Lepisosteus oculatus: one gene and its partner. The main gene of each other region encodes a partner of the protein of the gene in region 2 in a complex. Links are inferred from orthologs where the notes say so. Each region holds a gene or a part of one and is shown on either strand. Other genes may lie near its edges.

The links. The genes of interacting proteins can lie anywhere in the genome.
Region 1: the proteins of itgb7 (region 2) and integrin alpha-E are in contact, whole or in part, in a cryo-EM structure (PDB 8ZJF), measured with the Homo sapiens proteins. The link is inferred for Lepisosteus oculatus from reciprocal best matches to the Homo sapiens genes ITGB7 and ITGAE. Residues at the interface, in NP_000880.1 of Homo sapiens: Val201, Leu202, Pro203, Ser206, Thr207, Val208, Pro209, Ser210, Lys211, Arg213, His214, Cys216, Pro217, Arg219, Leu220, Glu221, Arg222, Leu255, Asp256, Ser257, Pro258, Thr291, Phe292, His293, Thr294, Ala295, Gly296, Asp297, Lys299, Leu300; in NP_002199.3 of Homo sapiens: Phe36, Leu38, Arg91, His92, Arg93, Gly94, Leu111, Arg113, Leu118, Ser119, Ser120, Leu122, Glu196, Glu198, Arg230, Tyr233, Glu234, Phe237, Glu238, Cys239, Asn240, Ser259, Gln260, Val262, Met263, Leu266, Arg300, Leu401, Gln403, Phe406.

What each region holds. Positions count from the first base shown.
Region 1 is NC_090721.1:4,074,148-4,081,139, forward strand, and holds the start of integrin alpha-E, read right to left. Parts: upstream 3,004-6,992; 5' UTR 2,698-3,003; coding exon 2,667-2,697; intron 1,335-2,666; coding exon 1,229-1,334; intron 963-1,228; coding exon 862-962; intron 764-861; coding exon 696-763; intron 1-695. Other genes in the region: uncharacterized protein, read left to right, coding at 3,640-3,705, 6,301-6,439, 6,725-6,867. UniProt on the Homo sapiens protein: Integrin alpha-E/beta-7 is a receptor for E-cadherin. It mediates adhesion of intra-epithelial T-lymphocytes to epithelial cell monolayers.
Region 2 is NC_090696.1:20,659,689-20,667,304, forward strand, and holds the start of itgb7 (integrin beta-7), read right to left. Parts: upstream 3,080-7,616; 5' UTR 2,957-3,079; intron 1-2,956. UniProt on the Homo sapiens protein: Integrin ITGA4/ITGB7 (alpha-4/beta-7) (Peyer patches-specific homing receptor LPAM-1) is an adhesion molecule that mediates lymphocyte migration and homing to gut-associated lymphoid tissue (GALT).

The sequences.
Region 1 (6,992 bases), on a different chromosome or scaffold from region 2:
AAAATCTGATTTTCAGCTTATTGCAAATCTCCAAAATCCATAAATTTGATGGTATGACTAAGAAACAAATCTTGTACAAATCCCATACGGCAACCAGCCTGAATCAGTACTTAAATGAAGGGAAAGGCATGAGCTACACGATTTTGAAATACACAATTACAAGCAGGGCAGGAGTAAGAGAAGAGAGCATTGACTTCAGGCTGTGAAGTACAGCTTGCTCAGAAGAAAGGAAGCTGTGGTGTGGCAGATGGGTTTAAGAAAGTAGTGGTAGACTGTGTCTGTGTAGCACAGCTGTATTTGCTGTCTGGTCTCATGCAAAGCATGCAGAAGTACTGCTGCACTGCTACTCTGCAAGCCTCCTAAATTTTTTGTGTTGGCATTTCTCACTTACGTCCTTGAACCATCTTTGAAATTGGAGCCGTTTTGGGAAATATTGCTCCTTCGCATGTGGAATCATCTGTCCCTTGGTTCGACAGTCTATGAATCCTCACCACCACACAAAAAATGCTGGTTTGTTTTCTTAGTTGACCGTGAGATAATGATATGCCATTGCATTCTCTCGTGACATTTCTGTGAGAACACTAAGATCTCCAAATACAATCAGAGCATTGCATTTTAATCTTAAATACTCTTCTTAATTACAGAAAACAAAAACTCTCTCGTAGCATTAGCAAGAGACAGAATAGAAACCTTACCAGGTATGTTGATCCATCTGAGCTTTTGGCTGCTGATATGATAGGTTTCCGATAGCTTTTCTCTTTCGCTACAAGGTCAAAGATAAATACCCAGATCACCCCCATTTCTTGCACAAGGGAACACAATATTGTCTGCATATCAAAAATCAGGGAACTGGACTTGTACCTGTGAGGCTGACTTCAGTACAGTGTGCCGAGACCTTGCAGTCATAAAGTCTACCATACTGCTGGTCGCTCATATTGTCCAAGGGAGAAGTAACTAAGATCCTGTGATAAAAGAAACAGGTCCTTAAAGATTGGGAGAAGATCACCGTTGCGTTTTATTTACAAATATTAAAGATTGCTAGTTAGCTACACTCCTATAAGGCTATTATAATATCAAGTTAATATATCAACAAGCATAAAGACAAACATTGTTATTAAGATTACCATATGTACCACAATATACTATTTTAAATTGAAGAATATAAGCAACAAGAAAGTGCCAGAAACTTCATGAAGCAGAGGATAATGTAACTCTTTACACTACTCACCCATCCTCATACTGAAGGACAGATTGCCCTAGGGAAGGGCTGTTCAATTCTTCAAAAGTTTGAATCGGCTTGGAGTAAATATTAAAACCCTCCACTGCATATACAGCTGCAAATTCAACAATAATATGAGGTTAGGTACGTTAGATTTATCTTTATAGGGACAGAACTGCACAGCCCTCCAGGACCAGAGTAATATGAGAGAGGAAGAGGGAAAAAAATAAATGAATTAAGGAAGGAGATTTTCACTATCAGTCCAAAGGGGTGACCAGATCATCCAAACGTGCTCAGTACTCGAGTGGAGACCATGTGTCAGTTCTTCCAGAGGTAGAAATGCAGATGCGCGAGAGTCGCATTTCATCATGGTGCATGTACCACGGAGTCAGAACACAGCAGCAAAATACATGTCTCAGCAACATGAACAATTTCAGATTTTATCCAGTGCATGGTCGTGTCGGACTGGGAGTGCAAGCTGGCAAGAAACAGGCACAAGGCAGGGTACACCCTGGACAGGACGCCCGTCCATTGCAGGGCGTGTTGGCACACACACACACACACACACCAGGGCCATTTTCCCCCAAATTCAATTAACCTACAAACTATATCTTTGGACTGTGGGAGGAAACATGCGAGCACTCCACGCAGACAGCACCCCAGAAACTGAACCCAGGGTGCCGGCTGTAGCGCTGGGCCACTCCCCTGACCGCTAATGTATCATTATTTCTCAGCTTCTTGAAAACAAAAAAGCCTTCACCGTCGCCAGTTTCCAAATTCGTTTGCGTTATATCCTAAAAGTTTGCTCCCTTTGTTGTATGAAAATAATGTATGTATTTTGTTGAACTATTGACACACGTTGCAGTGCTTATCACGATTTAGGACTTTATGTATTAATACATCTCGAAACTGGTGCACATTTTGATCTGCCAGTAATATATATATATATTCTGGCAAGAGGTGATGACGTTGTTGGGTGGTGAGTGCTAGATTTTAGCTTCGTTGGAGAAAGAATATGAAAAATAGGACAAGGGTGTTCTCAAATGAATGCATTATGTTGAGAATGTTTTATTACAGAAGAGCTACCACACCCGTACCGCAGCCGAACTTGAGATTTTAAACATCATACTCTTCAGCACGAAATGTAATACATATAAAAAAGACATTTAGAGGGAGAAAAAGAAGTCAGACACTGATGAAAAAGGAGGGGTCTTATTTTATATTTCACGTTCTGCACTTCTCAATGAGCTTGAGGTTCCGTATAATATAGTAAGAACTCTCAGTGCAGAAAGTGTAAAAGAGTATTTTCATCACGTCCGAGACATTTTCGCACCTTTTAATTAAACCCCCCAAACATTTATTTTATATAAAGTTTAACACGCGTAACACAAGAGCAAGTAATGACTTCTGCAGCTACGGAATTGATTACAAGGAAAGTTGTACTCACTGATTAGCCACAATAGACAATTATGTGCCATTTCGGTGTGGTTTCCGTAATAAATCTTTTAAACGTTGGTAATACCAGCGACATATGTCTCGCATATCAGGCAGATATGTTCCGAAGAGGATGTGGGATGTCTGTCGCATAGTCACATGCAAGTCTGCGTAATACTACTTCACAACTTTTCTTCCTAAAAATACATTAAATTACTTATTACGTCGCTTTCAGGTTTTATAAACCCGTTTAAGGTGTAAGTTATCCAATCAAGTTTTATTTTTTTCCGTCTAATGTGCGTTTGCACTTAAATTACTAAATTGCGCATTTTTTTCCTGATAGTTCCTACACACCGCCTCTACTGTATTGTACTGTTTTTTTTTGCACAGGTATATCAATACGTATAACAAGAAGAGGGAGAAACGTTAAGAAATTAAAGGTCAGAGGGAATTGTCAAATCAGCAACGCAAAAATCTATTTTAACAAAATTGTTAACAAAGCATGATTAGTTTGTCCCGGTCCGAGCAGCGGATTAAAACGAGTATTTCTTATTTAACAGGACTCAGCGTCTTTGAAGCCAATTTTAAAATGCAAAATACTTCACTCCCACCTTGATATTTTATTTGCTTTTTCAAATCGCCATTTTCTTCAACTAAGAAGAAAAAGCGGCCATTTTTTAAAAATTAGAATGGCAGATTGAATAAAGTTTTTAAGGGCATGTTTGTATTACACGATTTTACAAAATGATGCCTTTTTTTGCCTTATAAAAGTTTTTATAATTCCCCAGATGTAAATCGGACTAAACCTACTAGTAGTGGTTTAGTAGAAGAACAATGCGTTTTTACGATTAGGCAACGTTATTATCATCAAAGCGAATGACCGGGGTGGCCTCCTCTGGTCAGCTTTGAGCGTCTGTTTTAAACCTCCTTGTTTTAGCAACCCGCTTACTTAGCAACGGTATTGGGCTCAGCAGAGCTTTTAAGTAATGGAGAACAGCTTTGCAGCCCCGCAGTGGCTACTAAAAGCAAGGACAATCATTGAAAATTCGCAGGTAATCTTAATAATAATAATAATAATAATAATAATAATAATAATAATAATAATAATAATAATAAATAAATAAGCTTTGCGATAAGGTGTGTTGAAAGATGAAAAAGCGATGTGTTTTCCAAAACGGTTCATCTATACCCGTACAGATTCTAAGATGGTTTATACGCTTTCCTTTCTGTGACCTAAATAAATAAAAAAAAAACTGATTCAATTACGCCCTGCGCCCTGTGTGACTTCTGCAAGCACAGAGGGCCGAGTACCACAGCAGGCACGCACTCATATGTGGTTACTTTTAGAAGAGAATAGAAAGATTTCTATTAAAAGCGAGTACTTTAGCAAGAGACCGGTCAGGTAAGATTAGTAAAGACATACCGCTCTACGTTTTAAAGTCACCAGCGGGTCTCAGAAAACAGTTTGTATGGTATCTACGAAAACGTTACATAAAAGATCTAAATACACAGGCAAGGTTGTGCCGGACACATGAGGCTGAATTCCTTTCCCAGGCTTGTTCTTCAGTTTATATTCGGTTATCTGCTGATGATTTAGCCCTGAGAATGAGAAAGGAAGAGTAAAAAAAAACAAGGGAAAGCTGTGAGGTGACAGAACAGTAACATGCCTGTGTAAGCAGGCATCTCACCCAGGGCGTGCCCTGCCTTGAGCCCGTTGCTTGCTGGGATAGGCTCCAGCTCCCCCACTACCCTCAACTGGAAGAGCTGGTTAGAAAATGGATGGAGGGATGCTTGATAACCCAACAGTGAAGGCTACTCTGTTACCGTAGACTTCGCTGTCTCGGAATGAGGAGATACTTTCCTCATAATTACGAGATAAGGGGGTGATTGTTTTTCCCTTGGTGGCAGCGTTGCGCTTCTGCAAGTATTCAATATGTTCATGTACTACGTCAAAAAGCTGTTTCTCAAAGGCAGCCTACAGTCTGCTCGAGTTTCTAGACGGGTCCGTGGGAGACAGAATTGTCTCCCACGTCTTCGTCTTTCTCTCTGCTGTCGGTTCCCATCACCCGTTTCCTCTCCTCACGCACCCTGCTGGTGCTGGTTCCGCTAACGGCCACTTTGAAGTGCTCAGCTTCTGCCTGTGGTTACACCCGTGTGTGCGCTGCTGGCAGACATAGATCTGAAGATTGTTCTACATTCTGGGAAACCTGCATTTGCAAATATTCTCTGTAGGGTTACATGCCAGCAGGCAGCAGAGCTTAAGGAATGGCAGTGACTCCTCTGATATTAATTGACTCTCTGGATGGAACGTTGCCGAGTCTGATTTTGTCACCTTGAGAAGAAGTACTTCTTCTGTGGAGGTTTATTTTAGAGAACAGGGAAGGAGAAGTGAGACTGAATACAGTTATTTACAGTATCATAAACCAGAGGTGGATCGAGGGGAGGCTGTGGTCTGTGGCTGATTCATCTGCGTAGGGAGCTCCTCTTTACCCAGAGCTCTCCAGTGCAGCTCTGTGAGACTGGGGCCCTGTGTGACTGTGAGACCCCTGTTTCCTTGGCCGCCCCACGCATGCGATCATTTCACTTCTCTCTTCAGAAGGTTTTCCTGGGGAACAAGACGTATGCTGGTGCGGTGCTTGGCGCAGCTGCCTCACAGGCTCCAGGCAGTGTTTGAGCCCCACTTGTGTCACCTGTCTGTGCAGAGTTTGCATGTTCTTCCCGCATTCACAGGGTGCCCCAACTTTCTTCCCATCTCCCAGTGACATTAAAGTTCGGTTTGACTGGTAACTCTGAACCGTCGCTTTCCTGGGGTGAGGGTTTCAAAAGGAATTTCACCCTTGGAGGTGCTACGTTCAGACAGTGTGTCTATAGCAGTGGTTCCCAGTCTTGGTTCTTGGGGAGCACTGGTGTCTCCTGGGTTTCCAGTCCAAATTATTGCCTTGATTGGGTCGGTTTTGTGGCACCACCTGCAGACACAGTATCCCTCTAGAGCCAGGATTGGAGTGCTTTCCTGTCCACGACCTGGGGTGTTATCTGTGTGGAGTCTGCAAGTCCTCTCCATGTTTGCGTGGGTTTGCTCTGGGTGGCTCCGTTTCTTCCCACAGTCCCATCCAGGGGGTATCTCACTTTCTTGCCCATTTCTTGCTGAGTTAGACTCCGGCTCCCCCGCAGTCCTGTATTGGATAAAGCAGATTAATAACTCTGTAGTCAGAAATTAGGGTAAGCAAGTTGGGGAGAATTCCATATCGGAAGCTGCAGCAAATAAGTGAACTAAAAAAGTAAGTCACAGTAAGGAAGTAGATCAACTAGGCGTCAACTAGCACTGGTGATTTATAGCTCAGCTGGACTGAAATACAGCAGACACCGTGATGGTCTCAGGTAGTTCCAGGACCAGGGATGCCTGTGGTGTTATAAACAGAATCAAATAAGCCCAACGGGCAGAAAGGTCATTTCTTATCTGTGACATCTGTGTCTTTCTGATGTTCTGCTCTGAACAGTTAACCCAAGTCATGCTGCAGACATCTTTGCACAATTCTAAATGTTTTTAAGTAGGTGTTCAGAATTGCTTTAACCTTACTGGCTGTCCACCTTGACTTTTTTAAAACCCTGTGTATAGAGTCTTTTTCGCTTCTCTGTTGCTGTTTCAGGAGTGGAAGGCTTTCACTGCAGACCTGTTCGAGGCTGTGCAGCAGCAGCAGACAGAGAATCATGTCAGCTTCTTCGCTGACCTCTCTGAGGCAGAAAAAGCCCTGTTTCTTGAGAGAGCAGCTAAGGCAATCTGTAGAGGTGAGACTCCACAAGGCTCAAAACCTTATGCTAAGCAGGAAAGTAAAAAGCATTTCTGTACCACAGCTGACAGTGGAACTAAGGGTGCTTGATGTGGGGTGAAGAGTGTGAAAGTGTAAAGCCCAGGATTGTGTCTACACAGGAAATTGAGTGCTTGTCTGCATCTTCCGTTTAAATACGATTTGCATAAAGGTCATGTGGATAGTCCCAGAGTAGACATACATACTTACCTACAAGTTTTTCTTTTATGCAAAGCAAAGAGCGTGTACCCCTTATTTTGTCCAGGGAATGCCCACAAAGATGTAATCGCTCACATCGGCTCCAGCCTTGAGAATATACTGAGCGGAGTTGTTGCTGCACAGATGAGTGACAGTGGGGCTGTGTCTACAAAATCAGATCTCTTCCAGAGCCACGTCAGGGATGGGATGGTAAGCTTCTCAGTTTGGGAAGAGGAACACTGTGGGTGAATCCCACACAGGTGTGAGAAAGCCGCCATGATCCCTTTAAAATCTTCAGATCACTGTTGTTCAAAAGTATAGGCTTGCGAACCACA
Region 2 (7,616 bases):
GATCCTCAGCTCAATTAACCAGCAAGTGGCCTCAGATTCGTAACCTTTGTAACAGCATGAAATATTTAAAACTTTTTAAAGTGGATTTCAATGCCAGTTACACGATCAAGGTGTACAACGACATTCTTCATTGCTTGTAATGACCACATAGTTCAATTCAATTCAGTGGATTTTTATTTAGCGCCTTTCACAACAAGGTTGCCCCAGGGCCCTTAACAAAGCAATTGACCTTACATGTTGTGAATACAGAACAGAAAAGACCAGAAGACAACGGAGGAGAGGAGCCAAAAACTCCTCAGTAAGGAGCCAGGCGCTCACTTCACCCGGGGCTCTGCATCTGATCCCCGCATCGTGCGAGCACAGGACCTGGTTGTGCCCGGCTCCGTCATGTTTTTAACTTCCTGCTCCTGTCCTTGTTCCCCCAGCCGGTCCCGACCCAGCACCTGATTTTAATCTCCTGTTTGGACAGATTTCTCAGCCTTGGACCTTTTGCTTTCGTTTTTGGATTCCCTCTTTTGGATTTATTCTTAGACTGTTCGCCTCGACCACACCTCCCCGGATCACCAGCACCGTATGGACACGCCCCCCTGTTTTCATCCCTGTTCCTGCATGACTAGTGCATTCCTTCCTCACTATTCTGGATCGTGTCGTCCACATAGGGTCCGGATAGAACTGTTCGTTACACATCTGTTGAAAGGATGAGTGAGGTCAGATACCCCCCAAACCAAACAGCTTCTGAAAATGGCTCCAGCAAAGGCTTGGCAAAGCATCTCAACAGAACAACCCAAGAACCTGGCGATGTCGCCTGGGTCACACGCTTGATGCAGTTATTGTGTCCAAAAGATCAGCAACCAAACAATCACGTTTTATACTACTTTACGTTAATTTCTCCCTATACCTATGTTCACTTAAAATGGGGGGATAAAACACAAAAAGTGGTGTTCTTCTGAACCTGCACGCCATATAAGCACAGAAATATCCAGAAATGAAAGGCGACATTCTGTACTTTTGCATCAAATTCATCTTTTCATCTCAAATACAAATTTCTTGAATATATAGCAAAAATAGAAATGATTATGTCATCCATCCATTTTCCAACCTCTTTATCTAATTCAGGGTCCATCGGACACCAGTCCATCACAGAACACACACAGACACACTCACACCAGGGCCAGTTTTCCCAGAAGCCAATTAAGCTGCCTGCATGTCTTTGAACTGTGGGAGGAAACTGGAGCACCTGGAGGAAACCCATATAAACCATGGGAGAACATGCGGACTCCACCCAGACAGCACCCCAGGACTGGAATTGTAACCCAGGGCCCGAGTGCTGTGAGGCAGCAATGCTGACCCCTGTGCCACCCTGCAGCGGTGCGAAAGAAGCTGAAAACGTTTGCTGAAGGATGAGGCTGGAAGCAAGAGAAGAGCCTCCTTCACCTGATACATTGGCGCCTCCGAAATGTCAGCGAAGCTGCGGCACAAACATCCATCGAAACCCCAAAAGAGCACGCACTGCATCAAAACACGTCCGCAGCCGCCCAACTGCAACTCCAGAGAGCACGCAGCGAGATTCATGGTCAAAACCTATTTCAACGCAGTGTGGTAAAAACACAAAGTCTGGCAAAATCGCTTGGGTTGATACGCCCCTCGGATCCACAGCGCGACCCAGCTCCGGTTTGAATTAGCACCTCGCATCTCACGTTTGGAGCATCAGTTAAGCTAAAGTTTCTCGCAACAGTTGTTTTTTCATCATTATTATTTGTATCCTGTCCCTCTCGCCTTTGAAGTCCACACCCTTGCAGGGCTAGACCCCCGCTTCTCCTGTCTGTCGAACCGCAGAGGCGCGCCTGACTGCTCGGCGAGAACCAGCGGCCACCAACCTCCAGCTCCGCGATCAAAACACGAACAACAACACGTGTAAACCGCAACACCTGAAGCCTCCACACACCTCCCTTCCTTTCCCACTTTCCTGCAGCCCGTTTCACTACCTGCGCAGCAACACGGTGCATCGCGGGCGCCATTTAAAGCTCTTAACACAGAAATCACGACAGATCTTGGCGGGCATCAAGTTAATTCCGTTGAACTGAGATGCCAGATTTGCGCTCAGCCCCTTTTGGCCTTTCATTCGGGGCTGTACCGAATAGACTGCCGAAGCAAAGAGAATTTCACAGGACGAAACATTTAAAATCACACCAATTATATACGGAATTTTTTTTTACCAGGCCACGACAGTTGTGTTCATCAGTTCGTCCTAGTTTTGCATTTCTGTGGCGCTTACAACGCGGGACTGAGACATTATTCACGGTTCCAGACCTCTCGGCGTCACCCACAGTACGAGCTGCGCTCAGCAGGGAGCTCCAGTAACTTCTGAAACAGCTTTCTGTCCCGTCGGGCGAATCGGGGGTACGTTTCGTGGAGCAAAAATAAACGTATAAATGTTCGAATTAGGTCTTCAAACACCCCCGTGAAAGTGTGGTCCTAATTAACCTGGAAATCTGGCTCTTCGGGGCCGGGGGTGGTTCGTGATAAGAACTGCGTAAGGACACAACATAATGAACCTTTACATTCTTAAAAACTGAACCGATACCGAGGGGTGATGTACTGTAGCACCAGGGAACACATGAGGATAAAAACCCGGACCAGAAAGTTTCCGTCTTGTGTGTCGCATGTAGCTACAGAAAGAAATGGATTTTGTTTTTTTGTGTATCGGAAAATACGTGAATCAAACAAAACCAATCATCTTCACACCATCACATCTAAGACACAGAAATGCTCCAACTGCCTCGTCTCTCTCAGGCTTTTCCAATAAGAAACTCGGAAACTTCTCAACTGGGCAGGAGCTGTAACAGAAAAGCACCACACCGTAAATCCTGACGAATACCTGCACTGAACACCCGGCCACGACACCAACGCGATGCGAAAGCAAGTTTCGTAGATGTTTTTTGTCATCTTTACTCACGATAACCGTGGTGTTTTGCCCGTCACCCTCCGTCCGCCGGTCCGCGCGAGGCGAGATCTGCAGGTCTGTGAAGGGCTGGGCACGCGCAGCTTCACGCGCCTGCAGGAGTAGCTCGAGCGGTTTCTGACACGTGCCCCAATAGACAGGCGCTCGAGCTCGCAGCTCCAGGGAGCGTCGACAGTTGCCGCTGAAGTTAGCTTTTTAGTTATGAAACATGAATATATTTCTATTATCCTGAAAAATCTGGAGTTTAAAACCTAGACTTGTGGGGTGAATAACGGTGATATAGGATATAACCCAATACACTGTACTGTATATTTGAAATGAAATTGAGATTTTACCACAAAAACCTTTCGGTTCTCGTATTCTAAAACGTCATAAAAATTCTTATTCATTCTGTACCACAATTGCTACACTTTGCTTAGATGCACCTGGTAGTGCCGTTTCGGTGATAATCAAGTAAATTTTTGTCCTCGTTCGGCCATGACTCGATGAAGGAAGTTATTCTTGAGAGTTGAGGATCTGAGGGGATGTCTCTGAGGAGGGTTAATCTCGTGAAACAGACACCCTTTTATAAACATTAGTTATATATGTATAAGATAAGATTTAATTGTCCCCTGAGGGAATTGTTTTATGGACACACAGCACTCCTGTACATTTAAATAGAATGCAAACCAAAAAGAAGAAAGGAAAAACATTGCACATTATTCTATTACAAAAAAATAAGAAAAACATTGCACATCACTCTATTGCACACGTATAACACGTAACAACATGTAACATTTATAACACCTCACAAAACATATTGCGCTCAAGTGGGTTGTAAGAGTCAAAATTGTGTTTATCCTTAACATTTGCGTCGACAGCTTTAATGGAGAGTGGAACAAAGGAATGTTTGTATCTGACTTACATTTGGGAACCCTAAAACGTTTGTCAGCAGGAAGAAGTTGATATTCAGAGTTGAGGATGTGGGAAGGATCTGATATAATTTTTCCTGCCTGTTTGATTATGGATCTTTCAACGATTGTCTACAGGGAGGGGTGCTGTTTCACTCCCACGACCTTCAAAGCTGTGTGGATGAGGCGGGTAATTTGCAATGTTTAAATAAACTGATAGATTACCAAACTATTAGCATGGTAAAAGAGTAGCATTACTTCCTGTCGAACCCCAAACGCTCTCCAGAAATTTAAGCGCTGCTGAATTGATGAGCAAACACTCTCAACATGAGTAGACCAGCACAGGTTACGGTCTATGTGTACACCTAAGTACTTATACTTTATGAATCAACCTGAGTGATAAATTCGTTGTGGATTACTACATGGGAGTGGTCATCAACTGCTCTGGGATCAAAAACAGTTTACAGTCGCAGTCCACTGCCCAGTTTCTCCAGGAGTGTGACTTGACCATGACGCTGAACTCCGAGGCGCCGGGAGTCGAGCTGGATTGTTCTTTCCTTAGCAGGCGCCTCTATTCCAATGCATTACACTTAAACATTCACAGTACGTGAGGACAGGGTTGAGCTCAGCCGTACACTTACGGTAAGACTAGAGTGAATAAAGACGAGATCAATTTCGATCGGCAGAATGAAGTGTGTTGTAGAATGATTCGGAGTCATCACTGTTCAAAACAGACTACAATCCAAATAAAGACTAATTCTTCCGCCATCAATTCAGATCTGACTACAGAGGGGGTACAAAGCTCTCATTTCCTAAATCGGTCCAGACTTGGCCTCCAAGTCTGTCTCCGCCGCCTGCGGACTCAAAACAAGGCGTTGTCTCCATCTAGCGACAGGATACTGTCACTGCACGACTCCTGCTTCTCGTACCGGAGAACGGCCGCCTACGGAGAGAGGCTCCAACTCCGTTATTCCTGATTGTAGTTTCTTTTTTGGGGGCGAGTGCGTTGTTGTTTTCACTTGATTTCATTAGCGGCGTTTTACGGAACGTTATACTTGGGAGTACCCGTGCACAGGCAATAGCTGTGTAGCTCAAACTCGAAGCAGGAAATGCTAAAAACAGGAACTCGTGCTCGTCCGCTGAGAAAGACGCGCGAGTTCCTGCTACTGGGAGCCTGGCGGAGGAGCGCGTGGCCCCAGCCTGTCACGGGCTGAGGTCAGGCGGGGCGGAAGGACTGAGGCAATAATAAAAACAGATTAAAGACAATTCGTGACCTCAAGCCCCCGTTTTACAACATAGAGAGTGCAAATTGCTGCAACCACCGATACTTCGCTGAAGTTGTGCAATTAACCACAGACGGGCAAGAGCCTTTTTGAAATTCATTTAATTATTAAATAAATTATTAAAGTTAATTCAAAAGCACGGGTAAAAGATTGGTCTGAGTCACATCGAATGCACCATTGTTGAAAGGTACTGACTGATACCTGGCTGATAGCTGGAATGGAAACAGAACAGTGACAAGGGCTCTTGAGTCGAGAATGGTTCTGTGTTCAGAGCCCGGGAGGGCCCAGGAGACAGTAAAATACCCAGCCGTAGAGACGGTTGTCCAGATCAGCACTGTACACGCAAGTCTGCTTTTTGATAGACATATCGGCTTAAATAATGTAACAGATAAAAGAAACAAGTGAAATAGAATGAAAGAAACCCCTCGATGTGATTCATAGGGCAATTCTAGAACTCTTAATTCTGGAATTCGAACATTGAAACCACCCCAAAAACACCTTCTCGATGGCACTCTCAATTAGTTATATGACTACACCTGTCCTACTAAGACCAATACAGACAGTATTGACAGACTACAAGCATACCGGACTAGAAGTTCCTTTGCTACTCAGCTGTTGAAACAGATTAATGTGATACGAATTAGACGGACACAGGTTGTGATGCAGCCACTTTGAAATGGAGTGCTATTAGCTGGATGTTTCCTATCGGCTGACGTGTTGATCCTGTCTCATTATACTGTGCATGTTAATTGGCTGAGGAAGCAGAACTGATGTAAAAGGAAAGCAGTTGGAGATCAGGAGCTGGAACCGACTGCAAGCTTTCTGAGAATTACCCTTCACTCCGGAGTGCATCCGAGCACACCCAAGCACATCCGAGTTGATGCGAACTTCCACAGGCCGTCTGAAATGTAGCGAATGAGAACCACAGTTCTGTCGTCTCTGGGCATCCTCCCTTCACAAGCCTGCGCCCTGCGGGCTTCTCCCGGCAGTGGGGACATCCCGGGCAGGAGCGAGTGGTCAGCCCCTGCCTCGTGTGCAGCCCTTTCCCGCCGCGCATTGCCAGAGCCACTCGGCGTCGCCCGGGTCTCTCTCGAGCGACGCCCGCCGTGGGGTTTGGGCAGCAGGGGAAACCCTCAGAAGCCCAGCCTTCCTGACCAAAGACAGGAGTTGCAGGAGGAGAAGGGAAACTGGTGCAGTTCGGGTTCAGCTCCGCTCCAGGGGGAGGGTCCCCTCATCTTCTGGGTTTGTCCCCCCCAGTTACAGAACCGGTCTAATCATACAATTGTAACACTTCACATGTAAGAAGTGTTACAGTTTTTTTTAATTTCCTAAACCAAACCAACCTAGTTTTGGAGCTGGGTTAGCTGTACTTGTAATTGTAACGAATACGGCCTTGCGTATCACAGGGATCTCAGCGGCCCGGGCTGAGGGAGGTCTCCTTTAGCTCAGCTGGCAAGTTCCCCATAGCGTGACGCCAGAGACCCGGGTTCGCACCCTGGCAGTGAGGGATGAACGGCAGGGCAGGAGCGGCGAGGGCAGAAACACCAAGAACGTCACAAAATGAAGTGAAAGTTTAGGGTTACCAAATGTAAAAAGCCCTAGGAAACCTCCTATACGTGTCAAAGTGAGAAGATCTTCAGGTTCGTCGTTTAATATCTCAAGAACAAAAGCGAAAGACACTGGGCGTTCCTCAGAGAGCTCAACTGGCCCAGCAGCTGGCAGTTTAAGGGTGTTAACACTGGTGCTCAACCTGGGCCCTGGAGGAGCCCTGTGCGTCTCCCGGTCTTCAGTCCAGGGGTCTCGAAGAAATGTAGCAACTAGAGCTCCACCCTTCCTTGGTTATTAAGCGTGTGCCATCTGATTTCCATCCAAGCAACTTCTAAGAGGTGCCGAAGTGCCGGTGGGAATCAGACACTTGCATAGCACGACCCTTTGATCCGAAGAGCTCCACTTACCTCCAGAGCACACACCTGGATGAGAATAGGTGTGGAACAGATAAATTAGTAAGGATTGATGAGTTACAGCTCTCGTTCAATATCTTAAGAACTGGATGAAAGGTCTTGGCTCACTAGAGAGCATTTAGATCAAGCACTGCTCAAATAACAAAATGGAAGAAATGAGAACATCACAGGGCCAGGACGGAGAAGGTTCTGGAGCTGACTCCTTGAGGCTCTCTCCTGTACGAAGATCTGGTCCTGGGCTAGTCCTGTGTCTTTGTCAGGAGTAACCCGCTAGCAAACGGGAGGATGGACCTATGCGGTACCTTAGGAGTTAAACGAGAGGCGAAGTCTGATAAGGGATCCGAGGTCCGAGAGGCAAAAGGCATGAACGAAGGTCTCCTAACCAGAGAAGGGCGAGGCAGAGGTCGAAGTCGAGAAGTCTGATCCGAAGGTCCGAAGGAGGAGAGCAACAAGAGAGTTTCCAAATCCGAGGGGCGAGACGGTAGGCGCAGTCGTAGGTAAAGTTCCATGGTTGGCAACA